4 linked regions of the Daphnia pulex genome follow. The protein of the gene in region 1 purifies or fractionates together with the protein of each later gene. This does not show direct contact. Links are inferred from orthologs where the notes say so. Each region holds a gene or a part of one and is shown on either strand. Other genes may lie near its edges.

What was found.
Region 2: the proteins of U6 snRNA-associated Sm-like protein LSm4 (region 1) and squamous cell carcinoma antigen recognized by T-cells 3-like purify together in Homo sapiens (affinity purification with mass spectrometry; 4 studies listed by BioGRID and IntAct, counting the BioPlex papers as one, with this or other methods). This does not show direct contact. The link is inferred for Daphnia pulex from reciprocal best matches to the Homo sapiens genes LSM4 and SART3.
Region 3: the proteins of U6 snRNA-associated Sm-like protein LSm4 (region 1) and protein arginine N-methyltransferase 5-like purify together in Homo sapiens (co-immunoprecipitation; 3 studies listed by BioGRID and IntAct, with this or other methods). This does not show direct contact. The link is inferred for Daphnia pulex from reciprocal best matches to the Homo sapiens genes LSM4 and PRMT5.
Region 4: the proteins of U6 snRNA-associated Sm-like protein LSm4 (region 1) and probable RNA methyltransferase Y17G7B.18 purify together in Homo sapiens (affinity purification with mass spectrometry; 3 studies listed by BioGRID and IntAct, with this or other methods). This does not show direct contact. The link is inferred for Daphnia pulex from reciprocal best matches to the Homo sapiens genes LSM4 and MEPCE.

The regions. Positions count from the first base shown.
Region 1 is NC_060026.1:5,479,829-5,488,000, forward strand, and holds U6 snRNA-associated Sm-like protein LSm4, read right to left. Parts: upstream 4,579-8,172; 5' UTR 4,434-4,578; coding exon 4,431-4,433; intron 4,365-4,430; coding exon 4,323-4,364; intron 4,264-4,322; coding exon 4,165-4,263; intron 4,050-4,164; coding exon 3,869-4,049; intron 3,021-3,868; coding exon 2,932-3,020; 3' UTR 2,750-2,931; downstream 1-2,749. Other genes in the region: metalloprotease TIKI1-like, read right to left, coding at 150-209, 293-427. UniProt on the Homo sapiens protein: Plays a role in pre-mRNA splicing as component of the U4/U6-U5 tri-snRNP complex that is involved in spliceosome assembly, and as component of the precatalytic spliceosome (spliceosome B complex).
Region 2 is NC_060026.1:14,700,734-14,709,490, forward strand, and holds squamous cell carcinoma antigen recognized by T-cells 3-like, read right to left. Parts: upstream 5,323-8,757; 5' UTR 5,161-5,322; coding exon 4,993-5,160; intron 4,929-4,992; coding exon 4,802-4,928; intron 4,742-4,801; coding exon 4,637-4,741; intron 4,582-4,636; coding exon 4,304-4,581; intron 4,250-4,303; coding exon 3,817-4,249; intron 3,744-3,816; coding exon 3,570-3,743; intron 3,508-3,569; coding exon 3,339-3,507; intron 3,278-3,338; coding exon 3,122-3,277; intron 3,063-3,121; coding exon 2,636-3,062; intron 2,575-2,635; coding exon 2,427-2,574; intron 2,357-2,426; coding exon 2,264-2,356; intron 2,197-2,263; coding exon 1,868-2,196; 3' UTR 1,810-1,867; downstream 1-1,809. Other genes in the region: cell cycle checkpoint control protein RAD9A-like, read left to right, coding at 18-51, 122-345, 405-569, 629-732, 793-1,017, 1,087-1,280, 1,337-1,656; zinc finger and BTB domain-containing protein 18-like, read left to right, coding at 5,529-5,749, 5,815-6,233, 6,302-6,576; putative methyltransferase DDB_G0268948, read left to right, coding at 7,001-7,111, 7,200-7,360, 7,427-7,637, 7,710-7,807, 7,883-8,009. UniProt on the Homo sapiens protein: U6 snRNP-binding protein that functions as a recycling factor of the splicing machinery. Promotes the initial reassembly of U4 and U6 snRNPs following their ejection from the spliceosome during its maturation.
Region 3 is NC_060023.1:12,076,075-12,084,805, forward strand, and holds protein arginine N-methyltransferase 5-like, read right to left. Parts: upstream 5,350-8,731; 5' UTR 3,764-5,349; coding exon 3,579-3,763; intron 3,493-3,578; coding exon 3,374-3,492; intron 3,300-3,373; coding exon 3,085-3,299; intron 3,027-3,084; coding exon 2,622-3,026; intron 2,561-2,621; coding exon 2,352-2,560; intron 2,284-2,351; coding exon 2,161-2,283; intron 2,096-2,160; coding exon 1,920-2,095; coding exon of another isoform or gene 1,857-1,919; coding exon 1,653-1,856; intron 1,588-1,652; coding exon 1,385-1,587; intron 1,324-1,384; coding exon 1,192-1,323; 3' UTR 1,089-1,191; downstream 1-1,088. Other genes in the region: CUGBP Elav-like family member 1, read right to left, coding at 6,113-6,240, 6,316-6,573, 6,854-7,147, 7,851-7,916, 8,386-8,469, 8,544-8,690. UniProt on the Homo sapiens protein: Arginine methyltransferase that can both catalyze the formation of omega-N monomethylarginine (MMA) and symmetrical dimethylarginine (sDMA), with a preference for the formation of MMA.
Region 4 is NC_060021.1:10,086,510-10,093,223, reverse strand, and holds the end of probable RNA methyltransferase Y17G7B.18, read right to left. Parts: intron 5,822-6,714; exon of another isoform or gene 5,751-5,821; 5' UTR 5,542-5,750; exon of another isoform or gene 5,502-5,541; intron 5,292-5,501; 5' UTR 5,264-5,291; coding exon 4,317-5,263; intron 4,243-4,316; coding exon 3,690-4,242; intron 3,612-3,689; coding exon 3,411-3,611; 3' UTR 3,086-3,410; downstream 1-3,085. UniProt on the Homo sapiens protein: S-adenosyl-L-methionine-dependent methyltransferase that adds a methylphosphate cap at the 5'-end of 7SK snRNA (7SK RNA), leading to stabilize it.

The sequences.
Region 1 (8,172 bases):
TAGTCCTTGCGTTGGACGGGTTTCCATTTCAATCTAGCGTTTCATGTTGTAGCCTGTTCGCTTGGAGCTTCTTTGACGACAATGGATTAGAGCAACGGCAAAGCGTGCGTTGGATACAAATAATTGTATCGAAAATGGAATCGACTTACGTCAGGTTTGCTGCAAGTTTCCGGGCGCTTGTGTCGCCTGCCTTCTGTCGTATCAATCCACTATAAAAAGAAGAAACCACAAATGAAATTTTGGGGGGGGAACAAAGTGTGTTAAGGCTATAATATAAGGACGAGTATCATACCACTAATGCGAATAAGAGAAGACATTGGAGCACTGTGCGAGTTCGACGAGTAGTGAGCCTGCTGTGTTTGTTGATTGACCGATGCGGCTGGCGAGCTCCGTCCACTCTATTTCTATGAGATGCATGATAGGCCATAATAAAGGTTCATAATCGGCGCGAGGACACCTTGTTGAAATGAGATAGTGAGAAACGCGGGATGCTCATGGCACGACCTGCGGGCGTCTTTTCGATATTCACAACACGCGCCCAACATGGCGAGATTCACCAAATAACACGAGACCGCCGACAGCAGCTACAATGACGAGGAGAAACAAGCATCATATACAAGAGTCAACACAACACTACACTACTACCAGAACTCTAGCTCAAGACTAACATGTAACTATGGAGATGGCGGCAGCGCGCGACTGCCCGACTGCGCATCCAGTGCCATCTGGCGGTCACATTTTCTACCCCACTACAATAACAATTGACCCATTCGAGGAATGCGAAACCAATTTTTCTCAGGCTACCTTTTGCTGTCTTTCACACAGATAATCCCCCCACCCCAATCAACAACAATTGGCACACACAAAAACTTTAGTTCACGTATATAGGAGGTTAATTCATTCACTTGGTCAGTTTGGGCTATTCTGGGAATGCTGTATAAAAGACAATGCAGAGCGAAGATCCTACGGCATTCGAAAGAAGTGGAAAACTGGAAACAAAGAAGGAATCATTTTCTTTACAATCTCTTGGGGGAGAATTTGAGAAGTAGGAAAGACGAAAAGCTCGAAAAAAAGAAAGCATCGTAGTAAATCTATTGACTGGGCGTCAAAAGTCGGAACTTTTTTTCATTTTTTACAAGGGAGGCCTATTTTTCCCTCTCTCCTATTTGTAACGTTCTCTTCCCCTTCGCATCTGTTTCCCCCTCACTAAACCAGCAGACCCCCAGACAGCAGCAGCAGCTTCAAGCCCTTCGTTTCCCCATCGTTTCATTTCGTTTCTATTTTCCAACTGAAATCCCCTCGCACTGGAATAGGCCTTTTTTCATAGGGGCTTATAGCTTTTTCACCCTTCCGTACGACTTAGAAAAAGGCGCTTCTACGAAAATTCCTTGAAGCTATTCACTAAACTTTTTTTCTCCATTCAATAAAAGGTCTTTAGCGAAGGATTTCGACTAACGCTCTATTCACGAGTTTCTAGTGTCATGATTTTGTCCCCATATCAAGTCAGAAGAGAGGATGTTGCCCTTTACTAGAGGGTATCGCCGGGTATCGCCTAGTGGAAGAACGCAACTTGACTATGCCTCGGAAAAACAACATTTAATTTATTATCGAGGCCCTTTGCTTGAATGGCGCTTTTGAATGTTATGCGTCGATTTAATTTATAGTAACTGGTTCCTTTTTTGGTGTAATTCAAGGTTAATGATTAACACTTTTCACCCCTACTCGAGTCTGACAACGTCGCATATAAATACTCTCCTTCAAGGTGAACATAATAAATAGGCCTTGAATAGATGGTATAGTAGAAGAAAATGACTTTATTGTGAGATCAATTAACTGTTCTATATTAGCCATTCTTTTCGTCAGGGAGTTTCCTGTGGGTTTAGGACTGGCAAAGTTAAAATGTGTTTGGCCCTTAAAACAAGAGTCAATTGCTGGTTCGGTTCAAGGTAGGGAGGGACAAGAAAGAGAGAGTGAGGGAGGAAAGAAAGAAAATGTCGAAAACGAAGAGAGATGAAAGCCCAAGTTGGGCTTGGCTGCGCGAACAGCAGGGGCTGCGCTGGCTGGCTCCGGGCATCTCGTTGCTGTTGTATCCGTGCATAGGCACAGGAGAGAAATGGAGATTGGAGAACTAATTGCATCTCCTGGGTTTTCTCGTGTGTCTATCACCCCGTAGATTCCTTAGCAGCAAGAGATCTCTCTTCCATCGGTTATCTATTGTTATATATTTTTTTTCTTCTCCGGATACGCAAGGCGAATTTACTATTGCAAACGTCTGACAAATAATTAAGAACTAAATCGTAATTACGAGCTAATTGTATTTTACGTTCGAATGCAACTGAGCGAGAAAATGGAAGATGTATTATGGTGTCGCTCTAAAATTAGTGGTATGGCTTTTGCTTTTGTACTGAATTTGGTGAGCATTCAAGTTCAAAGTATCTATAACGCAGAAAGTATCTATAACAAACGAAAAACTTTCATGCTTCAAAATATGTATACACATTTGACATTTATTAAGCGCGCCGAACTTTCTGCAAAAACAAAACATTTGTTTTCATTCGTTATTAAAAATGGGCATCTGAATCTTCTGTGCTAACAACGATTTTCGCTGTCGCTTTGCCAGTTGGCAACGAACGATCCGACACATCCACTCTTACTACGCCGCACCTACTGACTTATGAAATATGCAGCAAAACAGCTGAAGGTGCAGCGTGTTATTACAAGTCCACAAGGGCTTCTTCTCTTCTAAATATTTCAGTTTCTTGGTGTATTTCAGCCTAAAGGTTTTATGGGCTTATTTTAAGCATGTAAAATTAATGTGAAGAGAAAGAATGAGATAAGTGCTTCCATCTTTTTATCAAAACAGAAAGCGTCTCGAATAAATCAAGACTTGGCCATATTTTTATTTTCATACATTCATTCTGACAAGTTTATTTACTTTCCACGGGGTTTATTATTGCCACCACCACCACCACCACCTCGTCCCGACGGCGCGCCTCGACCTCTTGAAGCACCAAAAGAACCTGATGGTCAACACAAGAATAATTTTATATCATATCAATAGGAATATGCATGCTCCATATTATACGTCAACGAAGCCTATATGTTTTAAAATAAAAATATTAAATAATAAAATTAAAATAATCCCATCGATTCAATCAATCATTAACTATTAATTTGAGTTTGACGCACATTCGTGTAGCTGCGATAAGCTAACGCTTAGTAAAAGGAAATAATGTAAGTTATAATAATGTACACGACTGAGAAACATTACCTAGGTAGTACTATACTTCATTAAACTGTAAACTTTTTTTGGAAGGTTAAAATAAAATATAAAAAAACGTGAAAAGATTAAATAATTAATTTTATAAATTCCTATTTTTAATTAATATTAAAATTAATTTATTATCAGTATTCAAGTAAGAGACGCGGCATGTACCTCTTGAAATAATAATCAATAAAAAACAAATTATAAACCTCTACATAGTAGATAGATTTCATTTTTAAACCATAAGAGCAGGCATTCCTGAATGTGCAGATAGGATGTTTAGCTATTCATTCGTCAAATGACACGAAACGACGTAATTTAAAAATAAAGCTACGATATACTGAACATGATTCTAGAATAATGAGATTAACAAGAAGTCAAACATACATTAGTTATTGTACAATCATTTGAGCATTAAGTGATTGTACTATATTTATCCCATTGGACCATTATCAGAAAATTTTGTATAATACTGTTATAACTTGGTACTTGTTCAATAATATTCATGACTAAAACAATATTAAGACTACGAATAAAATTGTTTTGTATACCCCATTAACTTAATTGATAATGAGTGAGAAAATTTTGGCATTTAAAACATACCTCTACTACCACCTCTGCCTCCTCTTTGGGCTCCACCTCTTCCTTTACCATCACTGCGACCACGACCTTTTGCAACTACTTCTTCCTTAACCATATCAATGACTTCATCTGGAATTCGAAGATATTTGATGGTACTGCCTCTAATGTAACACTCAGGCATTCTCCAAAATCTGTCACCATCCTAAAGAAATTGTATTTTTGTTCATTAAATATTATATGTAAAACCTTATGATCGTATTCAAGAATATCACTGACAGATACAGATGACGGAACTATCTTAAATGAAAGTACTTTACCTTGGAGGTGCAAATTACTTCTCGTAGATTGATGTTCATCCAGTTATCACAACTCACCAAGTGGCCATTGTAAGTCTCCCCATTTTTCAATTCCACTAACTGTAAATATTGAAACACTAGTTTTATTGCTGTAAATAACAAAAGTAAAAAATGCTTACCATGGGATGATTCTGGGCTGTACGTAGTAGCGACAAAGGTAACTAGATAAATAAATAATTAAATTAATCTTCGATGATTCGGTATGAAGCACAAAACTCAATAGTTACCATAATTGATTTAATATTATTGTTCTCGATATGTTCCAATTAATAATTAAGAAAAAGGTTTCTCCTAGGTTTTAAGTGGTTGGAAAATGGAAATCAAAGATCAAAGATTTATGAAGCAGAAACACCATCTATCGTGCGATCGGCCAATCCTTTACACCGCGCCACAGCGGGTGTGTTGGGAAATGTTATAAAATAGGCGGCTGTGTTCGGAACGGTTCCGAATGGACAAGATCAATCAGGACCAATAATCCATTAACGTATAAACCCGTAAAAACGTAACGTAAAATAAACCATTAACACTGCGCTGATCCTGAACGTTATTCGCGATACATCAGTAACACGTATTGTATTGACTATTGACGCAGCCGAATAGATCTTATTGCAATTCAAAAGTACGCGACATAGCCAAAAGTCGTGCGAAGCTTACGCCAATGCGTACCACTGTGGCGTATAGCCGAACTAGAAATTATTTTATGCTTGACTAATCCTATACTCCCTCCTATACGACAGAGGATAATTATAGAACTTGAATTAACCTTAATTAATTTAATCTAGTTACCAATTGATCTCATCTGGACGTGGAGCAAAATCAACGGACCAACGGTGAGGCTTAAAGATAACAATCAGGCTCGAGCTTTCTGGGATTGATCCACATCGCCAATTGGGCCTATGATCTTGGCTTACCCTCGCTGCTTGAATGTTTGAGGCGAAGGTTATAAAAGCTATTCCAACTGGTCGTTTGATAGCCTAAATGAATGGCAAAGTAGTGGTTACTAGATCACTATTCACTACGACATTAAATTATTTTAAAAAATATACCTTCAGTTTTTCTTGATCAATAAGTGACGCAAGTTGCCTTTCTTCGCTCGTGTAATATATACCCCCTATACGACGGAATTTCCGTCGTATAGGAGGGAGTATGGCAGGGAAATCATCTTTATTGCTCTGAGGTGTGTAAAATAATGTACTCTAGACCTAGATCAAGTATTGGTGGCACCAATGGTGAGAAACGGAAACGTACACTTAGTGTACAGAACAATAGCCAGAATTCTCTGACCGACATGTCGAGAGAAGACATGATAATATACTAATAAAGGATTTAAAAGAGGAAAGAGAGACGCTCATTCAAGAGAAAGAGTGCATTATCAGTCATACTAAAGAGATAGAAAGTGAGCTAACCAGCATCAAGGTTAAAATTGCAAATAGGTTCTTGAATGGGTTATTCGGTGATGGGCAGCCGACTAAGGAGAATGAGCCACCTAGTGGAATGGACTCGCAGCTAGGTAAATCCTATGCGGCAGTGGCCTCGAAGTCGGTCACCATCATTGCTAAGCTAGATCCGGATGTGGACACGAGCAATTTTATCGGTGATGCTATGGATGAGTTCTTTAAAAGTAATTCGGAGTATCTGACGCTGCAGTCTTTCACTAAGAGAGACAATATAGCTCGGTTTAAGTTTAATAACGACGCTGATGCCAAAAAGGCTAAACAGTTAATGGAAGCGGATGGAAAAATAGAGGCGTCCTTAAAATCTGTTTCAGAACGCAAAATAGAGTACCCGATAGCAGTCTTCGGGACTGGGATAGAGAATCTAGAGGTTCTTAAAAAAGAGATGGAGTTTAGAAATGAAATATTACGTGGTAAAATTAATAGAATCAAACCGCTCTCGAATTAGAAAGGACACGTCAAAGATTTATGGCACATTCAAAAAGTGTGAAGAAGCAGTAATCCAAGCTAGGAAAATATCAGTTAAAAATGCCGCAGGTGAGTTAAAAGAGAATAGAGTAGAAAAAGCTAAACTGGATTTTGAGGTGACGTATTGTTACAAATGTAAAAAACTGGGCCATGTCACGTTTAAATGCACAAACAAATCGGCAGCAGAAATCTGTGACCGGTTCGCAGAGTCGCACAAAACACAAGACTGCATCCATCCAGACAACAAGATGAAATGCGTGAATTGCAAAGGTGCACACAAATCGGGTGACTTTCAATGTTCAGCGCACATTAAGGTGGTGGATAGACTGAGACAACTCTTAGCCTAAAGTATGAATCACAATAACAAATCACTTTCATGTTTACAGATTAATCTGCAGCACTGTAAAGTAGCATCCTTAAACCTGAGTCAAGTTTGAGTAGAGCTAGATATTGACATAGCGTTAATTCAAGAACCTTACGCCATAACCAATAAATTTAATAATGAGTTACTTATACCAAATATTCCTAGTAATTATACGGTTCATCATAACTTAAATAAAGAACATGCTTTTGGTGCAATAATTCTGGCTACAAAATTTCTTATGGCTGTAAATATAGCAGTGCAAAACCTAAATAATTGTGTAGGAGTCCATTTAAACAAATACCCTGGTCTAAACTTTTTCTCTGTATATTGCCGACCGTCTCTGAGTCTAGATTATTTTTTGAATCTTATAAAGACTGGTCCTGACTTAGAGCGGTCTGTATAATAGGCATGGATTCTAACGCAAAAAATAAGTTATGGAATAGTAAGTCTACGGATAAAAGAGGTGAGTGTCTGGAATCATTTACTGACCAAAACAAGTTAAATATAGCAAACGTTCCTGTTTCCAAATTAGAATACATTCCCCAGATAACAGCGATGGTGGACGTCACTCTCAGAGGTGATAATACCAATATTTCAAATTGGCATTTTCCCAACGAGAACAGTCACTCTGATCATCCGATCATTCTGTTTCAAGTGGCTGTGAAACAACCAAAGCGTAGTACAGTAAGTAAAATAGTGCCAAGAGTAAAAAACATAGATAAAATGAAATGTCTTGCTAAGTTGGAAATTAAAGTTAAAAAAAATAGAAGATCAATTACCACTAATTAGTTCTAGAACAACATGGCCTCTCCGACTTAAGACAATAAGGCTGTGTCTGAAACTTTTTCATGTAACAGACAAAGCCATGTCTTAAATTTTCCTTCTTTTTATTGCATTGCCTCCTTATATTTGTTATACATTTATTTTATCCCTTTTCAATTCACAGCATAAAATTTTCCAAACGTTAATATTCCCTTTCATAATTTTCTAAAATTTTGCTGTTTCAATGGTATGGGTTACATAAAAAATTTCAGACACAGCCTTATCTTAAGTCGCAGAGCATATGTTGAGGGTTGTATATTTTGAGAATTTTTTTCTTTTTAACTTAGCATTTCTTTAAAAAACTTAAACCTTAGCGTAAAGCAATTATCAAGTTTACTTCAAATCTAAGAATCTTTCATTTAAAAAATACTTCAGACAAAGCAACGTCTTAAGATTTTATCTATTTTTACGAAAGCGTTATTGACATGTATTTTGGGGGATTATACAAATTTTTACTAACTAAGAATTTTTAAAATTAACTAAGCCAATCTTCATAAGGAATCGCAATCGGAAGCATCTAAATTAACTCTAAATAGTACCGAAGTAGAAAAAATTATGTAACTAAACAAGGAAAATTTCAGTTTTTTTTTGTAATTTAAGTTGGGTGTACGACGTTCAGGCCCGGTCATTCAGGCCCGCGTCTTTCAGGCCCGCGTCTTTCAGGCCCACTTTTATTGGGCCTGGACGTCGCAAAAATTGGGCCTGAAAGGCGGACTTGAATGTCATTCAGGCCCAATATAATTTTTATGTTTTTCACAGTTTAATATATTGGAAATACATTTCATACTTAAGAATTTTTAAACCTTTTAAAATAATGATCAATCAGTAATGATCAATCAGTTAAGGCTATACATAAAAACA
Region 2 (8,757 bases), about 9.2 Mb from region 1:
CATTGAAGTAAAGAAAAATGAAATGTCTTTTGGATGCAACCAGTGTTAAGGGTACGACATGATGTTTCATTTGATTGTACTAAAGCAGTTGAAAGCTAAAACACTTTCTTTTATTCTTTAGTTTTGGCGCGAGCCATACACTCATTGGCTAAGATAGGTGATGAATTGCACATTTCACCAATGGAAAATGGATTAACTCTGAAGACCGTCAATGCTTCCAAATCTGCCTATTCAGCTTTCAATTTTCACCTACCTTTTTTTCTTGACTACACGCACATAAGTGAAAATACTGTTCACGCTGATCCAGAAGAAGATACTGTGATTAAATGTAAACTTCCCATGAAGGTCTGACAAATAACTTTAATGTGAAGTATTGTGTGTTTACAATGATGTTTTGTTTCCAGTCCATCTTGTCTGTATTTAGGTCGATCGGAAGCTTGGAAAAATCAGTTGAAACATGTAAGATAATGCTACCACTTCTTGAGGCTCTGTTAATCATTGAGTTCAGGTGCAAACATGGAATTGTTAAGTACTTCAACTTAAGATACTTTGAATGTGAAAGTGTTGAAGTAAGTCCTTTGATTTGGTCTCGCCAGACTTTTAATGAAAATAACCTAAAAATTCATAGGCAGAATTCTCTAAGGAGGGTTACCCCAGTAAATTTTCCTGCTCTTCACGTTTTTACAATGAAACTCTTCAAAGTTTTCATTCAAGCACTCAAGAAGTTACTTGGTAATCCAACAACATAATTGTCATGTTTAAATAACCTCAAATTTCGTTTATTCTTTCAAGGTCCCTTGCAATGGATCAAGTACATTTGAGTAACCATATTGATGATGAAATAGACCCATCCAAATGTGTTCGTACGGAAGTCACGTTGGTCAAGGATGAATTCATTGAATTTAACGTCGCTCTGTGTACTCAAGTTACATTTTGCTTGAAGGAATTACGAGCTATTTTGGCCTTCGCAGAAGCCCTGAAACTCGATCTTGATTGTCGAATGGAAGGCGCCGGACAGTAAGCAATATTTCATTTTACTTGTGATTCAAAAGTTGCATCGATTATTTACGGAATTCCTTCTACCAGGCCTGTTTTGTTCAGTCTACAAAAGGATGACTTGTATTCAGCAGATTTTCTCCTTGCAACTCTAACGCCTGCTCTGGACACTACGGCATCCATTAGTTCGCGAACTGCCAAACACGAAATGTCAGTACAAGGCAATACCTCCAACCATCCGTCTCCTGTCCCTACCCTGAGGAATAAAACAGGTAACAAAACAGGCTTGAAAGGGAAGTCAGGATCTTGACATACATTGCTCTCCTCGTGAATTTTCTAGATTCCAGGACCATTTCGCGTGCCAATTTGGTCGATTCTAGGAACGGTTCTCGTGCAAGCACGACACACACTCGTTTACACACACCTTTGATACGACAAACGCCTGTTAACGAGGATCATACCCCACGTCTTAACAGTCTATCTCTTATCGAGCCCCATCCGTTTCCTGATATGGAAGTAGATTTGGAACCCGAAATTCAACCACCTCCTAATAAGAGAGCTCGGGCTCGCTACATATTTCAGAATTGTCTCAAGTTAACACAAGAATACAGAGAGCGACCAACTGAAGTCTTTGCTCCGGATTCAGAGGAAGATGAATAGCAAGAGACGAAATAACCCTTTCCCGGCTTTCCCCTCATCCAACGATTTTGTACATTTTTCTTTCGCCGAGTTAACTCAGTATTGTTTTGTGTCAGAATTTTGTAACGGTACATCACTGTATCCTATATAATGATCACAAAAGTTAAAGTGCCATTAAATGTTGATCAGTCCATTTTTTATTTATTCGTGCCATTTCAATGTCATTTTCAAATTATTTCTTTAGAAGCATGGACCGGAAATCGGCATTGCTCTTCGAAGCACTGGCGGGAACACTGACGGGTGGCGGCATGGTGGAAGACTGAGATGTCTGGCGAAGGACGGCGTTTGGAACAAACGACACTTGCGTTCTCCTTACCCGTGTTCCGCCACCCAAAGATAGTTCATCCTTGTCCAGGTTTCTGTCTTCGCGACGTGGAGGTGGATTGCTTAACGCAACCGTCAAAACTTTGTCCTGGAATGTAGTTCCGTCTGTCTGGTTCATAGCCATCGTCGCTGAAACTTCATCTTCGAATTCAACGTAAGCCAGACCTTTGGGCTTTCCTTTATATTTAATTAAATAGAAGTTAGTAAAGAAAAAATAAATTTAATTTAGATTATTAAACGCTACCGTTCCGTAACGTTACTAATCGAACGTCCTTCAGAATTCCAAATTTTTTAAACAGAGCTTCCAAGTCTTCTTTAGTAGTAGTGAAAGCTAAGCCTGTTATAACATCAAATAGATTTGGGATAAAAACAAATTAAGCTCGTACCTAAAGATCGCAAATACGTACCTTTGATAAACAGTTTTTTCTTTTCTAATGTTGACTGGTACTTGAAAGCTGGATGCTTCAATGCTGCGTCCGGTTCGCTTGGAGACATGAAAACCGGTCGTCCTTTCATGAGCTCACGGTCCCGCTTCAGAACTGCTCTCGCTTCATCCTAAGATAGTTTTAAATGAATTTAACGGACAAGCGTAGGAAATTTAATTATGGAAGTTTACTTGTGAAGAAAATTCGACAAAACAAAATCCTTTGCAACGTTGTTTGTAGTCCAGAACAAGACGTATGTCCGTTATGGTGCCGGAAGAACTCATCATGTTGCGTACATCTTGTTCAGATGTTTCGTAGGCCAGATTGCTTAAAAAGACCGTATTGGCATGACGGGAAGGATCGGTAACCGGTTTAGGAATGACAACGGGCTTGCTAGCAGGTTCGGTGGCGTTTACTTTAGGTTCAACTTTCTTTTTGGGAACAACTTTCGTACTAGTTGCTGCGGCATCATGGCTTATTTTAGGTTTTTTGGCAGGCACGGGTTTCGATTCTTTCGCATCTTCAATCTTTCCTCGTTTCCTACCTTTAGCCGTTTCTACTTCTTGAACCGTTTGCCCCTCTCTTTCTTTATTAACCTTCTTCATCCGAGCTTCACACCTGGCATATTTAAACAATTAAAATCAAAATTTTCAAAAGCTTTAAATTATTTTTCAGACCTCTGTTTAGCGATATCCATGGTTTGTAAGTCTCCTTCTTCGCGTTCAAATTGCAGCCATTGCTTAACGATCAACTCTGGCCAATCGGACGAAGAGACTCCATTTAGACTCTTCGTAAATAATTTGCGGACTTCTTCTTTATTGTTATCGTGTGTTCTGTTATAATAAGCATTGTGTTAATATAACTCTAATAGAATTAACTAATTAGATCAATAACCTTTCAAACTGAACACGAGCCAGCCACCACTGAGCAGATTTACTGTGTCCCCGGCTTATAATCTTGCTCCAGAGGTCTCGAGCTTTAGGCATATTATTCAGCTTTTTTGCTTCGAAATATGCCCAATATTGTAGCAGTGTACACTCCGGGTCTCCTTCGACATCATAAGCTACAAAACAAAAAAGTTATAGTTTTTATATTGGCGATTTCATTGGTCTTAGAAAAACTTACTTTGATCTAAATGTTCGGTCGCTCGTGTAAAAGCTTCACGAAGTTGAACGATGTTCTCATTGTCACTGTCACCCCATGTGCATTTTCGTACAAGGTATTCAATGAAACTCATCCAGACGGACAGCAAATCGGCCGCTGTTGCTAGTCCCGCATTGAAAGCCTTCTCTACTAAACCTGTTGAGTAAACCCTTGAATTATTAACGTAAAAAACAATATGAATGGTTATTATAATTCGCTATTTATCTACCTGCAATGAATCCATCCTCTTTTTTGTAGCGCTCGGCAGCCAAGATGTACTCAGACCAGATGGGTCCGTTCCACGGACAGTTGCGGATTGCTCGTTTAAAAATGGCAAAAGTGGTTTCTGCGGCTTTGAATTGATGATCGACGAACTTGCAATAATCGTTCCAGAATGAGTCATACAGCGGCATCTCGGCAACAATACGCTCGAAAAGTGCTTGAATGCGAGCAGGATCTTTAAATTCATTCATCTCGAGATCCAAATACGTACGGTAAGCTGCAACCTTGTGGTCGTTTTCAACAGCGATTATCAGGGTGTCTTCTATGGGTGCTATCTTTTCCATTTGTCCCTTTGCTTTGTCATAAGTGGCTTTGACATGTGGTTCAATTTTCTGATCCAAAATCTGAAGCCACTCATTGTATTCTGTCCAAGTTCGCTCCTGAAAATAAGACTTCAGTAAGAAGAACAAATCTACGATATTTAAGAAATTTACCATATCCAGCAAGGGAACGGAGAGTTGACGGTTGAACAAATGCGTGATTTTTTGGGCTTGACTGGTCTTCTCAGTTTCACTTCCACCTTTAGTTGTTTGATATATCGCCATTTCAAAATCGCGATAAGAATCCCACAGCAAAGCCCCCTTTACAACATGAAGTCCTCCATGTCGAATGGCTTCTTCCATAACTGCTCTAATTTTTTTCAATGCTTCAACACCTCCAATATCCATTCCAGCAAGACAAAATTGGATGTATTCCACCCAAATATCAATATCTGAAAATGATAATATTTATATTTTGAAAAGTTGAAAATTTATATTTTTATATACTTAAGTAGTCCTCTGTTGCCCTTTGAAACAGCAATTCAATTTTCTTTTTGTCTTCATCTGTTAATCCAAGTTTAATTTCATCTCTTAGCCAGTCAAGCCATAGTTCTAAATAAGAGAATAAGGAATGTAAAAAAAAAATTATCTAAATTGTTTATTAAATCTTACCTTCAGTCAGAGGATAAATGGCATGCATAGATTCTCTGGCATATCTCAACTGATCTAGTTCCCCAAGTTTTTGTAGAGAACTAATCAGTTCAACATGTGTGTTGTAGGCATTTGGAGATTTTGCGAGCTAAAAACATACAATTTTTTTAAAAATTGAACCAAAAAATTCACAAACATGGGAAAACACTTACTTCTTTTCTTAGTTCAACAATTCTTCTCTCGAGAACATAATGCTCTTCCCTTTCTTTTTCTGAATCATCAGAATCAGAGCTGCCTGACCCATTAGGGTTGTCATTGCCTTCAAAACTCATTTCTTCAGTCTCATCTTCCTCAGCAAAACCTTGCTGGACATCCATCATGAAGCTCTTTTTGTGTATGTGTATAAATAGAAGCACTTGTACTGTATAATTCTTTAATAATTCGAGATCGAGTTTTGGGGTTGTTGGGTTAATTTCAAAGACAACACAACATTACATCGATGTTGTTCGTATTCGGCACGCACAGCCTAGCGGCAGATGAATGAACTATCAAGCAGAAGACTTAAATCTTCACATGAATCACATCTGCTATTCTGCTTAACATTAATTGATTTGATTGACTGTTGAAAACAACACATCCAAGACGATCGCTCAACGAAATTCGAAATATACTTTATTTAGCTTTTTTAAAGAGTTGAAGAAATATATTTCCAGTGATTTTTAGACTTGGTTGACTCTTAAACAAAGAAATGGAAAACAAGACGAATTTTAAATCTCTGGACGATCTGTGGACTCGGAATTTGTTGGCCATGTATAAAAATCAATGTCACGCAGATGTAACTTTAATTTGTGAAGGAAAAAAAATTTTGGTTAATCGTTCTGTTCTCGCTTCGCTTAGCCCTTTGTTTAGCCAGTTGCTATTGGGTTGTGATTCCCATGTTGAGCCTGTCATTTTCCTTGAAGGATTCAGGTAATAGTCATTCCCATTTGAAACTTATTAAAAAATAACCATTTTTATCTTTTACCATTCAATAGTTATAAACCTATGGTCTGCTTGGTTAATTACCTTTACAATGGGATTGCTGAAGGATCATCAGTCGACTTGGTGACAGTGTCCACATATGCCAAAGAACTTCAAGTCAAAGGTCTTGTAAAATTACATGGGAAAGAACAATTCCAAGTGGAAATATTAGAAAAGAGAAAGGTTGAGGAACAGCTGCAAAAGCTGCAGTCGCATGAAATTGAATGTGATTCTGATTCAAGCTCAAATGAAGATGAAGATCTTCAAATAATTTATGAAAATGTTCAAGAATCTCTTCCCACAAAAACAGATGATTCAAATGAAAATTTGACCAAAAACACAGTTTCTTCAGAAATCAATTCTAAAAGGAAAAGGCAAATCTCCCAGTGCTCTACACACACTGAAAAGAAGATTATTTTAGAGCCAATTCCAGGTACAAAAATAAAATTGTATTACCAGTCTGTATAGTGATCACAAATTTGTCTATTTTCTTTACGGCAGAATCATCTAATAATTCAAAATCTGCTGTTGCAGTAAAAGCCCTCAAGTGCTCTATTTGTAAAGAGACATTTAATGCAAAAACAGAGTTAAGAAGTCATCTTGGAATTCATCATTCCGAGCAGCTGACTTGTAGCATCTGTGGAAAATTGTTTACCTCGCGCATTACTTTAAAGAGACATTTAAGGAGGCACATTTCTTCACTTGATGGCCTCCTTGGTTCGTTGTCACAGTGCCAACTTCATCTAAACGAGCCGTCAGATAACATCGCCAATTGACTTTAACTTCTAGTAAAGATGATCAACCATAACTGTAAAATTTTTATTGCAATTCTCCTTTTGGCCTATTGCACCAATATCCGTCTCAAGTAAGCATGTTATTTTCGATATTTGGTATGTGCACTACCCCTATATATTATTTTGAATAACTTAAATTGATTGCATTTGCTATTGAGTTCTGTGGGCTGATAAGATATGATAAAGATTTTCTGATAATTAATAATTTAAAAAGTCAATCGTTATGCATAATTGCGGTTGCGTATTTTTGTACGACGCCGTCTGGTGGCTGAAGCTCACGATACAATACAATAACAACAGTTTTGAAGTAAACAAAGTGCTGGCGGTAATATTTACTCCTTAAAAATATTATATTTACCATTTTCAAAATTCAAACTTAGTTTTAAAATATTCTTAAAGTGCAATAATGTCTCAGAGATATTTTGAAAGTGTCACACATGCTAATGTTTATGCTAAATTTCGCCCGTGTCCGCCGAAGCAGCTTGGAAATAGAATAATTAACTATCTTAAAGAAAAGGTAACTTGAAAATCTTTAGGGTTTGAATTTTGACCCAGGGCAGTGACTAAACTGAGGACACATGAAATTCCTGTTTCATGTTTTGCAGTATGAAGGGGAACTAAGCCTTTGTTTGGACGCTGGGTGCGGAAATGGCCAGAGCAGCAACCTATTCTCATCAGATTTCAAAAAGGTGATTGCAACAGATGTGAGTTCTGCTCAAGTCACTGTTGCAAAGACCATGAATCATCCATCCAACATTGAATTTCTGTAACATGAAGAATTCATTTTTTTTTTTTAAACCAAAACAACCAACAAAATGAATTTATTATTTAGGGTAAGCCCTGCTGAACAAATTCCTGCTAAAGAAAGATCAGTGCAAATTGTCAGTGCTAGCCAAGCATGCCATTGGTTTGATCTACCCCAGTTTTTTAAAGAAACTAAAAGAGTTCTTTGTTCAAATGGTATTGTGGCCTTGTCAGGATACACATTTCCTAAATTTATACATCCAACCAGAGAACAAGACTTTCAAAGGGCTTTTGATTTGGTACTAGATCTAATAATTTATGGTAGCCTAATTGTCTTGGACTATAATCTTTCTTTCTTGTTCTGGAAATAGCTTTATTACCAAAGAACAGGCCCTTATTGGGGAAGTGGTCGTGAACTCGTAGATAACGAATATTCTAATATAGTGCTTCCGTTTGAAGATTTCATAAGGTATCCTACATTTGAATGCTCCAGAATTTACTTGAATGAATCTTGAAAAACTTCATTTTTTTCATGGACATTGAGAGAGGAGTTTTGGACAGAGGAAACCAGAACAACTATTTCAGAGTTTGTTGGGTACATTACTACTTGGTCTGGTTACCAGAATTACTGCAAAAACCATGGAGCCCAAGCAGGAGAAAATTTTAACTGAATTTACATCAAGGTATCAAATTACATTGCTGCTTAAGTATTATTGTTCATCCCAACACCTTTCTTTTGTGTGTCTGACATTTGGTGACAGCTGCCTGAAAGCCTATGAGGACAATAAAGACGAGGGGCAGTTTACAATAAGACGTAAATATTTTTTGCTGATGGGGCGCAAAGGAAAAGAATAATGTCGAAAAGTCAATAAACCAAGGATGCTGACATATGTTCCATGAAAAGAAATAAAATAGTTTGATTTTAAAACATTGATTATTGGTGAGTTCAATATAAAGGGAAATGCAACTACAAGCTTAAACCATACAACTTTGTTTGAAGTTGAAAGTAAATGTTTATGTAACCGTGATGACCTTTCATCCGGATCTGTCTCCTAATGCCCCTATCCTATCTGAGTACTCGGTACACTCTGAAGGAACAGAAAACGTAAACAATTAAAGGGAATTCTTCGCATTTCGCCTGTCAGTTGTTTTCTGTTAGTACATGAAACATCCGTTAGTATGAATCGTCGCATAGTCGCTGGCCTTTTTCTTTGGTCGTTTTCCCCGCTAGAGCGATCATTCGGACGCCATTTTCAGGGGAGGGGAAAAATCACATTCTGGAAAAGAAGTCCGTCAAAGAGACTTGTTAAGCAGTGTTTCACCCTATATACATTCGCAAAGCGACCAGTGTTAAATAAGTTTTGCGTTCATGAAGGTCAGAATCCGTTCCAGCGTGTACGCCAAGGCAGATTGCCTGAA
Region 3 (8,731 bases), on another chromosome or scaffold:
AGGCAGACAACTCGGTTGTGTAGTTCTTGGGAGCCTCGGTGTAGTAAGTAGATGCTGCGTATGTTGACTTCGTTGTGTAGCAAGGCGGAGGCGTTGCTGTTTGGTCTCCACCATACTCAGAAGACATCGGTACTCCCGTGGTCTCCCCAGCCATCAACGATACAACACCCAACAGCAGCACGACCCACAGTTGACTAAACAGTAAAGAATTTGAACATTAATTGTCAGTTAGAACTAGTAAATTAAAAAACTGAAAAATATGGAATGATTCACAACTCCATGTTATAAAAAAAACTGAATGTTTACCCATGATTGCAAACTGATAATGCGATGAAGAAGGCAGTTGGAGACCAATAGGGCTGCAGTTGTTCCCGTGTCGGAGACGCTAACTCGACTGATCACTGTGGCCTTTTCTCTCTCCTTTTATACGACTTTTTCTCACCCTTACCTCTCAACTCAAGCCTTGCGGCAATTGTTCCTACTTGCTAATGAAGCAACACGTGTCGTTCTCACCCAACCTCTACACCACTGCATGAAAGTTTTACCAAATTTCTGTAATGATCTCCGTGACCTTCGGTTGAATGACATACAAACTGGCCTTTCCTCCCGCAGGTTGACGTAGCTGGGGATGGGTTTACAAAAAAACATTATCAAAATGAATACCAAATGGTTATGTAAAACTTTCCGTTCTTACCCAACCTCTACACCACAACATTGACAGTTTTACGTAATGATCTCAGTGACCTTCGAAAGTGAAGGACATGCAAACTGACCTCTTCCTTCTGCAGGTTGACGTTGCCGGGGATGGGTCTACAACAAACAATATCAAATTAATACCAAATGACTTAAAACTCACTTTATCCAAATTGACATTTAAGTAAATTGACTCGTTTTTTCGGTGAATGAATAAATCTTCCAATTCGAACCGTTTGAAGGATAGTCGGCTTTTTTTGAAGATATCCCACTGCAACCTTATCTATGTTTCAAAAATATGATCAATTCTTATTCATTTCATGATTTGAACACAGTTGAGCCTTGTTAGAAACCTTTTTCCTTGGCCACTGAGTTCTAAAAAAATTGCAAAAATGTTAACACTTGAACAATCCTTGTATTCAGTCCCATGATGAACAAGGGAAGAACTAGACACGAGTGGAATCATGATTATAACAATGCTTAGTTATTAAGTTACATTTAGAGGCCAATATTGTGCGAGCGACCCAACGGATTGTGAATGGCACTGCCATGAGGTTTCGTCACGCACCATTCGTACCAGACGTGGGTGCGGTTGACGCAACGCCAAAAATGAATCTCGAGAACGTCTCCCTGTAAAATTAAGAAAAATTTAAAATGTTGTCTAGATATCGGGAGAGACAGTTGAATTTACCTTCTTCAGACTGATGGGATTCTGGATGGGGAAAAGAACTGGAAACCAACTGAACATTCCAGGCGAGTGTGTTGCAGGGTTGATGGAGAGCATCACATCTTTGTAGAGAACCGTTTCAAAATAGCCGGCAAACCCGTGGAGCATAGCATCGCATTTAATAGGAAACTTCCGCACTTCATAACGGCTGTTGTCAATTGGCATTTCTGTCAAAGTCAAGTCAAGGATTAAAGCAGAAATTCAGAGCTTTTTAAAACAATTTTTTCCTGACCTCTATTCGGATGAGTAAATGTAAACAAGGCCTGCGGATCAGCCAGTTCTGTCCTGTTGCGAAAGTGAACGACGTACGACATCTCGAAAGAAGTGAAGTAAGGCTTGTCACGCTCCCGACAGGATCGCACTTCATTGAACAATTTGGAAGACTGGATTGGTCCCAGAAATGAAGTGTAGCTCGAAGGAATGCTGATCCCGTCATCTAAGAATGAAATAAAAATGAGCAACAAAGTATTCCACCAAATAACGACAATGTCACGGGCACCTTTCAAGAATTTTTGGGCGCCGTCCAGACACTCTGGCGATAGCTCGTTATCTCCAAACGATCCGAGCAATTCCGAGACGAGGATGTCTGCCTTTTCAGGTGCATCCCAGTCGCGCATATCACAAGAAACGATAGTCACTCGATCCCCCCACTCTTCGTCGGCTAGACACTGCAAACTATTGAATGAAAATGACTTGATTAATACGAGTCGAGTGATAACATTTCTGCGGCAAAACATTACGTGACTATGGCGTTGGGATTCTTCTCCACTGCGTACAAACGAATGCGACGATCAGCTTTCTCTGCGGCAGTTAAGGCAGCACGAACTAAAGGACCTCGACCGGCACCGACAACCATCAATGTTCTGTTATTCAAAAATAATTCAATTACGACGGAGATCTCGGTAGAAAAGAAACAAAAAACAAAACTTACATGACTTTCGTGTCCTTTTCTTCCAACGGGACTTTATCCAGGATGGCCAGATACATCGCCCGCTGGTATTCGGTGTATTTCACGGGATCCTTTTCAAATACTTCGTAGGTCTGAGACTCGAGATTATCCATCAAAGGTTGGAGAGGAAATTGGAGAAAGTCTTCGTAACCTTGTGCAAATCGCATAACTGGATCTGATTCATACCCAACCTACAAGAAAACACAATATGATGATTGAAAAGGAAAGTAAGCGATTGTTGTTTCCCCTTACTTGCCACAAATGCTCAATATATTGTTGATAATGCTTGTAATGTTGGTGGCGCTGAGCTCCAGTGATCAGAATTTGCGTCTTCTGGCGTAAAAACTGACGTATGGCCACTTGGTGGGATTTGGGAAGAACTGGAAACCCTTTCTTGTTGGTCATGAATAAATGGGTAGGAACCACAAGACACTTGATTGGCTCTCCCAGCCAACGATCAATGTCTTCAGCATCAGGCAAATCAGCTGTGAGTTCCAGGGCCAGTGAGAGTTTCTTCTCAAAGTTTGCAGTAATGCGAAAGTTATTCCACCAATGCCAAGTATCATCAACTTCTTCTTCATCCACATCCCTTTCAAACAGACTAGCCTCAATTTTCGGGGAAATCATGGGGAGGTGGAGCCAAACATGGTACCTGGCCTAGGCACAAAGTGATAATTGAATCGTCTGCAAAAAGAAAATATTGGTAATGAAATACCTGATTCATCGGTGAAGACAACACTTTGTTGTGCATAAATCTGGCAAAATTTGTGTTGTTCTTTCTCAAGGGGACAAGGACAGCGGGGAGACCCAGATGTCCAGCAAAGGACAACTCTTGCTCCAGCATTTTCTCAGATTCTTGCCGCAGCAACTTGTCTTCATGATCCAAATCAATGTGTGGAGAAATCTTTCCAACAATGAGCGTGCTCCAGTCTTGAAATGAGATCATTCAACTTTCAATTAGGGGATCACTCGGCACACATTTATACTTTTTTTATCTTTTATACCTGAGCTGTTCAGAATGAGATCAGCTCGAGTGAAAGCTGAGAGACGTCGAGCTTGAGAATTTCCGGAGAAATCTCTTTTGTGTCTCGGATGGGCGATTGGCAGTGCAGCGAAATCATACCTGACGAAATCAAAAGTATTACGCTGTTAGCAACAAGTGACTGGGGCAATTTCTTGTGAAATTAATTTCGGGAATCAAATTAATACTTGGATTCTGTGGCGATTTGTAGAGCATTTGTAATATCGGCAGGGGAAACGAAATCGAGACCGCACGAAACACGTTTTGCCATTTTTGTAGTCGGTCTTCTGAGTGGCTGCGTTGCCAGATTTCTTTTCTTAAAAACGATTTTCGCACACCTACTTTTGTTTTTTAATTTAATTGAAATCGACATTTATTTTAAAGACGCTAATTTAAAATATTGTATTAACTGTTTCACTTGGCTGCCATCATTCGGGAGGGGGGAAATCATCATAAAAAACGGGCAAATGAAATCGCTCTGCGACATGCTGAAACACGTTTAAAGTATTCCACACCAAATATTTCCAAAAAAAAATCGCAATTTGTAACATCAAATTTTTGTCTAAATTTGCGGTGCAAACGTGAAAAAAATGAAACAAAAAAAAAAGTCGTACAAATAAAACAAAAATAAAATTTGGCATCGTCGATCCCACCCGAAATTCAAATTTCTCTTCTTCTTCTTCTCTCTCGCAGGAACTTGTCTAATTAGAACTGAAAAATGAATACTACAAACATGACTACCATCAACAAGTGCTCATTAGGTCACGAGTTTGTGTGTGTTTCTTTCAAAAAATAGACACGGGCGAATTTCTCTTGCTGGCGTCTTGCAACATAATTGTTTTAGTTTTTCTTTAAGTATCGAAAAATGTCTGACGCTTCAAAAATCGCCAACCGTAGTTGTTTTTTCTCAAACGAAGGTAAACGTGGGAAATGGGGTGTGAAGAAAAATATGAAACGACGAGATCTCACGTGCCCACCAGACAACAACAACAACAACAACAGCAAACAACTCCGTCACATCACTTTTTGCAACACAACAAAAAATTTTCACTTGGAACTTGAACAAAAGACAATCGAATTAAAAGAAAGAAGAAAAACACAATTAGAGATATACAAGTTTTTGTTTAGGTGCTTGTCAAGTCCTTTTTTGGGGGATAACGTCCACCTGGTTGCCAAAAAATGTTTGCCGGTCCTTGCGAAAAATCTGCACGTCACACTGACATTTGGGATCATTTGATACTTGTGGTAAATTGGCCGTCGGACGTGTGTGTGTGTGTTCTTGTTGCATGACTAGGGCGTGCGTCTGTACGTGTCACTGCCGAGGAAATTTCGATCAAAAAGAACAAAAAACAAAACAAAAAGGCACATGTAGGTGTCACGGCGCCACACCTTGTTTCCAACATCTTGCGTGTTGTTGTTGTTGTTGTCAAACGGTTCGAACAGAAATGAAGAGTCGATGGTGGGTGGTGGTGGGGGAGGTATACACGTTCGTATTTTCGAATTGAATTAATGTCACTTTTAAAAATTAGAAATTAATATAATTATATATAACCTATACGTGTGTGTGTGGGTGAGACTAGCTGATCACTACATCCATGTCGAATCAACATCGAAAAAAACTAAAACAATCAAAAGACACACAAACAAATGGGACACGGAACATAATCAAACATAATCCAAAAAATGGAAAAACTAAAAATAAAAATTGAAGAAACAAACAAACGACATTTTGGCATCTGGCCTAGCTGAATTCTTCTTTTCTTTTTTAAAAGGGAGGCAAACATGAAATAGCTTTCTTTTTGTAATCTCTCTACAATAATTTGGTAATATACTATGATTCAACATAACAATTAAAGAAGAACAAGACACGTGTAAATGAAAAACAAATAAAAGAAAAGAAGCGGATGAAATATTCGTCCGCTTCTCCGACGACAGAGACGCCAAACAATTGTTGTGTCTATATGGGGGACGACAAAAACACACGTACGAGACACGCAGGGAGTAAGATACACGATGAAAAAAAGAAAAAAAGGTTTGACAAACAACGTGAAAACGAGAGGAGGTTTGAAATTGTTTTTTTTTAAATTTGTGGTTGGTTGGTTGGTTGGTTGTGGTGCACACACGGACACACGGACACAAGGAAACCTAGAAGAAGAAGAGAAAATCAAATCAAAAACAACATTCGATACGAGAGACGAGAGACAAAAACGTTACAGCTAAAACATGTAGTCAACGACAAAACCCTGAGATAGACTAGAAAATTTCAATCATTTGAATTTGAGCGGGAAAAATGAATCGAGAAGAATTCAAAAAAAAAGGTTTAAATCAATTTGTTTTCTCTATTTGTGAAATATTTGTGAAATAAAGAAATTTAAGAAGAACCAATCACATGATATGTTTATAGGCTTTGCACTTTTTTCCATAAATGTGACTAGGTTATTTGGTCGCATTTCAAATTGAATAATAATAATTATTTTTAAAAAATAAAATGAAAACAAAAAAAATTTAAAATTCCCAACTTACTACCAAGAAAGGGGGAAGGGGCAAGGCGTGTTTGTCCAGTCATTTGAAAATTGTACGTTTCTTTTTTTTTGTAATGGGGCGGTGGCTTGTTGCGTTCAGTGACATCAACAAAAAAATATTTTTTTCTTTTTTTAATTTTTTTTTCGAATTTCAAAATATTTATTTCTCTCCCCCCGAGAGTTTTTCTGTTTCTTTTTTTTTAATAAGGTTTCGAGGCGTCTTTGGAACGTTTCAGCTGGACTTTGAGCCGTTTGGTGCCGATTTGAAAGCCGTTCATGGCTTGGATGGCCGCCTGGGAGCTCATCGGGTTGTCGTACGACACGAAACCTAAAATAAGAGAAATAGAATTCATCAAAATTTTCCGATTAAAATATAATGTCATGTCAAATTAAATGGAAATACCGAAACACTTTGACAAATTGGTCTGCTTGTCGATAAAGACTTTGGCTGATAGGATGTTGCCAAAGGGCGAAAAGGCTTGACAGAGGTCCGTGTCGCCAAACTCTTGCGGCAGGTGGTAGATGAACAGGTTGGATCCTTCCGGCCCTTCCTGCTGGCGCAATCCGCTACCCGTCACGCTGCCGCTGCCACCCAGGGGACTGACACTCCCGCCGTTGGCGCCATTCATCCCCACCTGGCCGCTAGTGAAATTGGGGAAAGCTAAAAAAACAAACCAACAAATAAATCAATTTTTGAAACGAAAAAGGAATGCCGGAATGCCGGAAGTGGAAGAAAAACAGGTGAAAAAGAAGCAAAGTGACGAAGAGTGCCGGATGATTTTTATGTTGTTGTTTCGTGTGTAACTTTTCCTTATGAAATTATTTCAATTTTTTAAATTTTGGCGCTTTTTTTCCACATTGGAGAAATGATCATCTCATTTTGCGGAATTGCGGAATTGCGGAATTGGGGGTTTTTGTTTGGAGAAGGGGCTGGGCGGCACCTGTAGTGAACTGCTGGATGCCGGCCGTGTAGGCGTTGGCCAGGGCTTCGAGATTGGCGGCGGCGGCGGCTGCCGCAGCGGCTGCCGACGTCCCCAATCCGTTGATTCCGGCCGACGTCGCCGTGGCTGCTGCTGTTCCAGCTGTCCCGCGATTGTTGACTAAACTCTGGTGGTGGTGTTGGTGCTGCTGCTGTTGTTGTTGGCTGTTGGAATGGGACGGTTGTGTGGCGGCAGCTGTGGCAGTGGGGCCAGCGGCCACCAGTTGATGGCCCAGCGAATTGCTGGCCGATCCTCCTATCAATTTGGGTGTCAGATGAGTCGGTTGTTTTTGCAAGCCGGGCGGTTTTTGGGGAGGGAATTTAGGAGTTTTGTTCTTTTATTTTGTTTTAAATGTCCCAGTTTAAATCCCATTCAAAGTCCAATCAAACCATCAAAACATGCGACATTAAACAACAAAAGCATCAACCCCTTTCTGTCCCCCATTTGATCTATGAATGGATCACCGTGTTGTTTCCGTCACTTGTCATTAAGACGGGCATATATTAAGAAAAGGCATTCCATTAAAAAGAAAAAGAAAACCAAAAAGAAATAGCCGAAAAAATGATGACAAAAAATTTAAAAAATAATTGAGGGGGGCAATTTGAGTTGATCATTTCTCTCAAGTGTTTTTGTTGTGTGTGTCTTGTGTGTTTCGTGTCTGTGTGTGTTCCGGCACAAACAAATCGATATAAAAAAACAAACAAAAAGCCAAAATAAAATTTAAGAAATAAAAAGGTCATCAAAGCGAATAGAAACGTGCACAAGAAGAAGAAGAAATCATTCCGTTATACAATTCAGAGAGACGAGAAATTCAATATGAAAAATGCCATTCCCCATTCGTGTTTGGGTAGGTTGTTGTGCACACACATTTGATAGCTACAACGAATTTGAAAGGTTTGGTCTCGTCGAGAAAATAAAAATTCGTTTTTTGTGTTGGTTTTAGTTGTTTTTTACTTACCGACAACTGGAGCCCAATGGCCAGCTGAAGCTGTCACGGGTACAATGACGTCTCCGTGCGTGAAAGCTGTTGCGTATTACAACGTCATTTTGGGTTGATGAAAAAAAGGTAGAGGTTTGGGTGGGTGAGAGAAATACGGACCCGGAGGAGCAGGGGGGTAGAAATGGGCAGGCACCACCACAGCATAGCACACCACACACCCAAATATAGAAGAGCCAAATTGCAAAATACGAGAAAAGAGATCAAAAAATAAATCAAACAACCAACGAAATCAGAAAAATAATTTCCAATCCAATTTGAACCCTAAAATGCATCAAATATTTAGACAATTTTAGCCCAAAAATATTTTTCAGCCAAAATTGTCTTTTTTAAAAATGGAAAATCCAACGGGGGGGGGGGGGAAGGAAATCAAGAAAGGACATGCACCGGTGCAATTGAAATAGTCGGAATCATTTGACACGCCCTCGGCAAAACGACATTCAATCAACAAATCAGAAAAGGTGAGATAAAAATTCCGGTTGGGCCTGCGACTCACCTGAACCGAGCGATTGGATTCCATTTCCGTTGCTGGCGATGGCGGCCAAGGCGGCCAGGTTCTGCATGTTCATCGCGTTGATATCTACAATGGCGCCAAATTCAAATTTGTTAGAAATAATTCCCAATTGAAAATGGTGTCGTCCTCATTCCGTTTACCTAATGATCCGAAAATGTTTTGACTGTTGAAATTGGCCAGGGCGGCCAGACTTGAATTGAGGTCGTTGACTGCCGAGCCTGGACTTCCATTTCCGCTCATTCCCAGTCCGGCCTGACTCTGTAAGTTGGCCAGACTTTGTAGAGCGGCTGCCAAAAATCAACAACAAAAAACAAAAAAGTTTTGGCGT
Region 4 (6,714 bases), on another chromosome or scaffold:
ATCACTGCCCTGGGTTCTCTCTCTGCGCCAGCCAACGAATGGTCCGCTCCATTGCGTCATGGCTTATTTGGTTCTACACCGATGTAATTCGTGACTGTTCTATAGAGCGTTGAAAACAATCTCCCCTCCAGAAAACAACCATTTGTTACATTTTACTTCAAAGTATAAACGGTTTTGGCTTTACCGGGACTGACAATATCCATTTTGTTTTTACATAAACCTGCGTACATGATTTTTCCATGAATGGCGTTTAAAGGATTATTATATGATTCAATCGTTTATCAAAGTGCATGTTATTCTTTTTCTATTAAGGATAAAGGAACTCGAATTTTTGCAAAACCTGATTGATAAAATGTCTTTGTCTAAATGTCCTCATTTAATATTGGTCATTGAAATAATACCCGATTACGTAAGAGTGTGAGAAGCATATTCTTATGATCAAAATACATGCAGGACTATACCTGTGTATTGTAAACAGGAAAAAAAAAATAGCAATTCAGGTTAATTGCCCTCTCAATTGTTTTGGTATAGAGAGTCCGAACTTGAAGACCTTTCCCAAAGTTATTTGTACCACTATTCCTTAAAAAATCGTACCGTACGTCTAATGCATCTGAGAACTATCATATATAAGAGTACCAAAACAACGAAAAACAGGTAGAGAGACCTCGTAAATTCAAACTCAAAGAAGAAACACCTTAAGGACTTTGTCGATTGCCTCTGGCCACAATATCTGAACTTAACTGATAGTCCATTTTTCCTTTTCATTTGGTTAGCAACACAATTACTATTTAACTCAAGAGACATATCTAGTCAGTATGGCTTATATAGTATAAAATGGATTTGAAAAAAGGTTTTTCGTATACTAGTAAACTAGTTTGATGGAACTGCCGGGAACTACTGAGGATTGTTGTCACGCCCGAGGAATTATTTTGCAATACTTTTTCTCTTAACCGCATTTTGGGGTTCTGTTTACATGCTATGCAATATGCATAAAAACCGGTACAATGATTGGAAAGAGCTGGGGTTTAGTTTAATTTAGTTGACCCGTTTTGAATTCCTCCTAATCGGCACAGTTCAATCACAACGGAAATTCGGCGAAGTTTATTTATATTGTCTCTCATTTTCAGAGCCAGGACTTTTAACTTTGGAAAAACCTGTATATAGAGCCAAAGATATATCTCCCAGATATGGTTACTGAAAAGGCATTCCCATTGCCGTTCTTTGCTGACGGGCTAGAGTGCCCAGTGGGCTACGTGTATGCCATCAGCTTCTCAGTTTGCAAGCCGACTTAAGAGGTCTTGGAGTATTTTTGAAAATGGGATTTCTTTTAAAAAGCGGCCCCCTTCAACTTCTTTTTTTTTTGTTTTTTTTTTATTTTCCATTTTCACTCCAGTTCGAGGATCTGGTATCAATAAACGGAACTAAATTTGGTGACTCCGTTAAATCAAAGATGGCGTTAGGTACTGGTTCGAATGGAAAACATTTTTATTTCATTCGGCGACATTTCGCGATTCGCCAATTAAATAGCGAAATATCGTGAATGCATGTTTTACGCTTATTTGATATTGTATGACGCACAAAAAATTATTTTTTCAACGCAGTACGTGAACCTTATTACAAGATCCGGAACCTAAACAAACATTTCAATGACCTGGAAACGGAAATCTCAAAATGTAGATAAAAATAGGCATAGGCCTAGCGCTGTGTATACATTCCGTTGTGGATGTCAACGGACGGAAACAAACATTCCCGGTATCTGAATCACATTTGGCAACTCAACCTCAATTTTTATAAACCAACTCCAAATGAAAACAGATTTTCAAGTTGCAAACCCCAAAATTCCAATTGAATTCGACGTTCGATTCGGTATAAAGATAAGGTAAAAAAATTAAGGCTTACCTTTTCGTCGATAGTTTTTAAAAAACAGCAAATCCTTGAAAAATGTGAATTCCTGGCACTACTCAACATTTTCTTGTAGTAGGGGCGAGTATAGTATAGAAGGGATCCAGAAACTTCGCAGGGGATGTATACGGTTCACTTTTTCTTTCATTATCATCGTATTCTTCTCTCGCTTGTCTTATGGTGGGCCTGGGAGCAACGCAAACGGTTGTGTGTATGTTCTTATGTTTATCTTGCCCTGTGGGTCCCACCGTCAGAGTCTAAATACATATTTGCTTTTTTTTAAAAACAAAGAAACGGTTTGTATTTTTTGAAATATTACTTATCTACAACAATACCGGAAAGTAATGCCTTCTCCTCCCTTTCTTTCGTTACCCACACTTTACCGCATAGATATTTTTTTTTCGAAATTGGGATTTTCTAGGATTTTCCGGCCCATTCTGCAAGCAAGAAAAAAAAAAATAACAGACAAAATAAAGCATCTCGATTGCAACGGTTTATATTACACACACCCTTTTTCTGGTAGTAAGTCGAGTGGCCACTTCGCTTAGTTCTTGTCGAGTTTCGCCAACTATTTTGAAATTAGAAAAATTTAGAAATTCGAAGATTTATAGCTAGCTGTAACTTAAAAGAAGTTGGTTTATGACTGTAATACTGCCCTTTACACCTTTCAGATTGCGTAACTCAATGACGGTTTTTTCATCGTTGGCTTTGGTATGTAATAAAAGCTCTTTTTGAAATACGAAAAGATAATTATTTCAAGCTCAAACAGAACCAAACTGAAGAATAAAAAACATTAAGGGTTATCTTTTTTGTCTGTAGGGGGGGGGGAGGGGTTACTTAAACATCCCTTACCTCCTATTGGTCCGATGTCTGAATGACTGGCATTTCTAATGAATAGTAAAATTTTATCTTACTACAATACCGAAATATAACATTAGAAACGATTCTTAGTTACCTTGGATACTATGGTTAGATTTAAGGGGATGGCAACTAAAAACTTGTAGGCATTTCTATTTTTCGTCGGATATTTCTTTTACATCAGAGGATGGGATATCTGATTCTGCCCCTTCCTACAAAGCCTAATAAAACAAAACTGAGAAGTAAAAAATTTAGAATTTCTGTTACCCAACCCTTTCCGTTTCAAACGTAACATACAGATAGGTACTGTATCTCTATTGCGAAATTCTGATTCAACAGTCTTTTATTATAAAATATAATCGACTGTACATTATTGTGCTAAACGTATCACCAATCCAGCCGAATTCATCCAACAATGAAATTTAGTTGAAAAAACGAAACAAATAGATGAAAGGAAAATCTACAAGTTGGAGAAGAATTTGGAACAAGAAAAGGGTACACCAGAGATCTTGAAAACTCAAAGGAATACGTGAATACTTGCCGAACAGTGTAATGGTGAAAGCAAACAAGCGATTTCGAGAACGAAAATAACTGTACATGGTTGACGATACTGGCTAACATTAGCAATCGACAGCAGTCCCAGTTACTTCTCACCCACTGATCTCTTTGGGCGTTGTGGGGCAACTATTTGTAGGTTTAGTGAAAACATGGATCGGTCGACGAAAGCCTTTAGCAGCATGGTGTGGGGTAGCTATTTCTTCGCAAGTGGAAAATCCTACTTGGGAGAGCAAATAGTCGGAAAATCGCTCTGGATATAGCTGAATAGCCGCATAGTTTTCAGCAATTGTTTCCTTTAAAAATAGAGAAAAAGATAATTGATTAGAACAATTTTCTTAAGGAAAATGAAAAAAAGATATGTTGAAACTCACGGTCAGTTTCTTTCTTTTGTTGTACGAGGCCCAACCCTGCGCTTCAAGTATCAATCTTCCTCCTGGTCGCAAATGAGCAAAAATTCTCTGAAAGAAACGTTTGAGGCCGGCATCTTTCCAATTGAGATGAATCCATTTCGTGACCGAAAGACAAAGAATAGCATCATATTCTGGCTGGACCATTTGAAGGAATTCATCACTTTCCGGAACATAATTTCCCTGGACGAATGAAACGTTGCCTGGGAAGCGGGATGAAGAGGCCGACGAATGGGTACTGGGGATGGATCCGTACATGAGTGGCATGGAAACTGGAAACTGGCGTTCAGTCGGATGTGAACTTGAATAAGTTTTGATGTTCTTGCGTGCAATTGATATCAATTTGGGATCAATGTCAATTCCAACAATTTGTTTCGGGTTGAAGTCACGAGCTACACAAAGTGTGACGTGTCCTGCGTTGCATCCAATATCCAACACATCCTTGTCTTCGAACCATTCACGCCAAAAGGAGCGCAAGCGCAAATCCTCGCAATTGGGATTGCGGTAGCCATAATACCTAGAATATTAAAGAAATTTAGCAAAAAGAAAAAAAAAACAAAACAAAACAAAACAAACAAGCAAAAATCTTACCTATCGTAATTGCCATACTGAAATCTTTTAACTTCCTTTAGATTGTGAGATGAACAGCCCTGTTCGGGATTATTATTCGATTGACTGCTTCCGGCGATTTGACTTTCTCTTGAAGGGCATCGAGAAAAAGGACGCTGACTTTGACTTTTGACGGAAGATTCTTTAGAGAGGGATCTCGGGAAAAATCCAGAACGTTTTCTAGCTCCGGGTTGTGGAACTACAGGGCTAACAATTTTGTCTTCCGGCCTTCTGCAATGTCTAATTGGTTCAGGTTTCAGCTTTAGATCCTTGAATTCTCTTACAGCAGGTTCTGGCTTTGTTTCGATTGTCGCATGACTTTCAGTCAACTCAACAGCGACTTGCTTGACTACAGGGAGATCCAATGTGAGCGTGCTCAATTCGGGTGAATGTCGTCCAGCATCCAGTACTTCACTGGCGCTATTGGTCCTCCTTCTTTTACGGTTTCGTCCTCTCTTTTTTCTAGAGACGGCATTCGGAGATATTAACGCTCTTTCCGCTAAATTATCATCTGGCATACTCAGGTTTAAAGGATCCCTTATATTTGATGGAATTAATACTTCAATTTCTTCCTTCCTGTGTTTAGGGGTTGGTAACGGAGAGGATTCTGGGGTATGCTCATTCAAAGCTTTGTTGATTCTTTCATCTGCTAGACTGCCCAAGTTCAACGGGTCTCGACTATTGCCTCCAAGTAGAAATTTTGTTGGTCTCACAAATTCTTCCTTGCGTCTTCTCTTGAAGTGATGTTGCTTGCTTTCAAATGAAAGACTGAGACTTCTTTTGCGCTGACTGCCTGTTACTGGTTTCACCATTTTTTTGGGACTGACAAAATGTGGAATAGCTTCTACAGGTCTGTCATCCCCTTCTGCAGGAAAATGCACCCGCTTCATTTGTCCAATACTGAGAGAGACTACTTGGGTTGATGCCATGATGTTTCATTAAATTTGCTTCAGCAATCTGTAAAAAGAAAACAGCTTTACAATACACACATCTCTCTGCTTAAACATTGACACACTAAAACATTGCAATTTTAGAAGTTTTTAATGCAAATTCTAAATAATTTTCAAATTTAAATAAATCCACACGCTGTGCAGCATCTAGCGGTCACGCCAGAAACCTCACATCATAAACGTATTTTATAAACAAAGAAAATTAACTATAACCTACTTTTTTGGCTCCAATACAATTGGAAAGGATGAGTTATTACCTAGAATTAAAATTGAGTTGGCAAAAGTGATGATTTGTGTTCCAATTTCTGGACAAGGTGTATCCTGAGCAACCTTGTCTATTCGACGTTCTGATGCTTCTGCTCCTTTCTTTGCGTTCAGTCCCCATACCCCAGTAATAAATACATCCCCTCTCTCATAGCAGCGTTGCACAATTGGCAAAAAAAAGCACTGAGCATTACATGTGTACCTAGTTTAAGAGAAACTGAATTTGCGGTTGATCGAGAATTAATTGCAGTCAGGTTATGCGCTTATGGAAATCCAATATTATTGAAAAATTCTATAGCTTAGTAATAGATAAAAATTAGACGTGCATTTATTATGTACATCAAAAACTAAAAGTGACGGATAACGTAAAAAACTATTCGTTAAAACTTCATAAAGTTGTAAGACATTAAAAAAAATTTAATCCATATTATAGTGCAATTTAAAAATACTTCAATTTCAAGCCATGTCGACGAACATGATGAATGATTTTATTTCCTCCTATTTGACTTAATTATGTGTTAAATTGTGAATCTGTTACTACTCAATATATTTTGTTGTATCTTATAAACTCGGTTAGGTTACTGTAACATTTCTAGGTGTACTTCCTATAATCGAATTCAAAATTTTTACTAAATTTCTGTTTCTGTCATGCAGGGAGAAAGTGACATCTCCTACGTATGCAATTACTAATAATTACGCATGCATCTGTTAAGACTTAAGAATGTAAAAACGAGTTATCCAAGTTTATTAAGAATGTAAATAATCTTGCCATCATGTGATTCGTAATCATATATAATCCAATCATATATTGGAGATCTAAATTTTCCAGAATTCGATTCAGCCATTCAGGTACTCAATAAAAACGTTTTGTTAACGTTTCGTTCCACGCCATCTAGTTTCGGTGTATGATACTATGATCACTCCATCGTTTTCGTATAGATGGCGAAATTTTTAGTTTTAAGTATAAAGGTGCAATTTGCAGCAGCTCAGCAAGAGGATTAATGCGGCACGAATAAAAGAATCGTCTCTTGTCGCATTCGTAGGACAGGTATACACGTAACATCTTTCCATTCCTCTAAAAGTTATCTCACAACTTAATTCCAAATAAAAATTGCTTTATTGAATTGCTGATCTTTTTTGATAATTTGATTATGTTCATGTTTGTT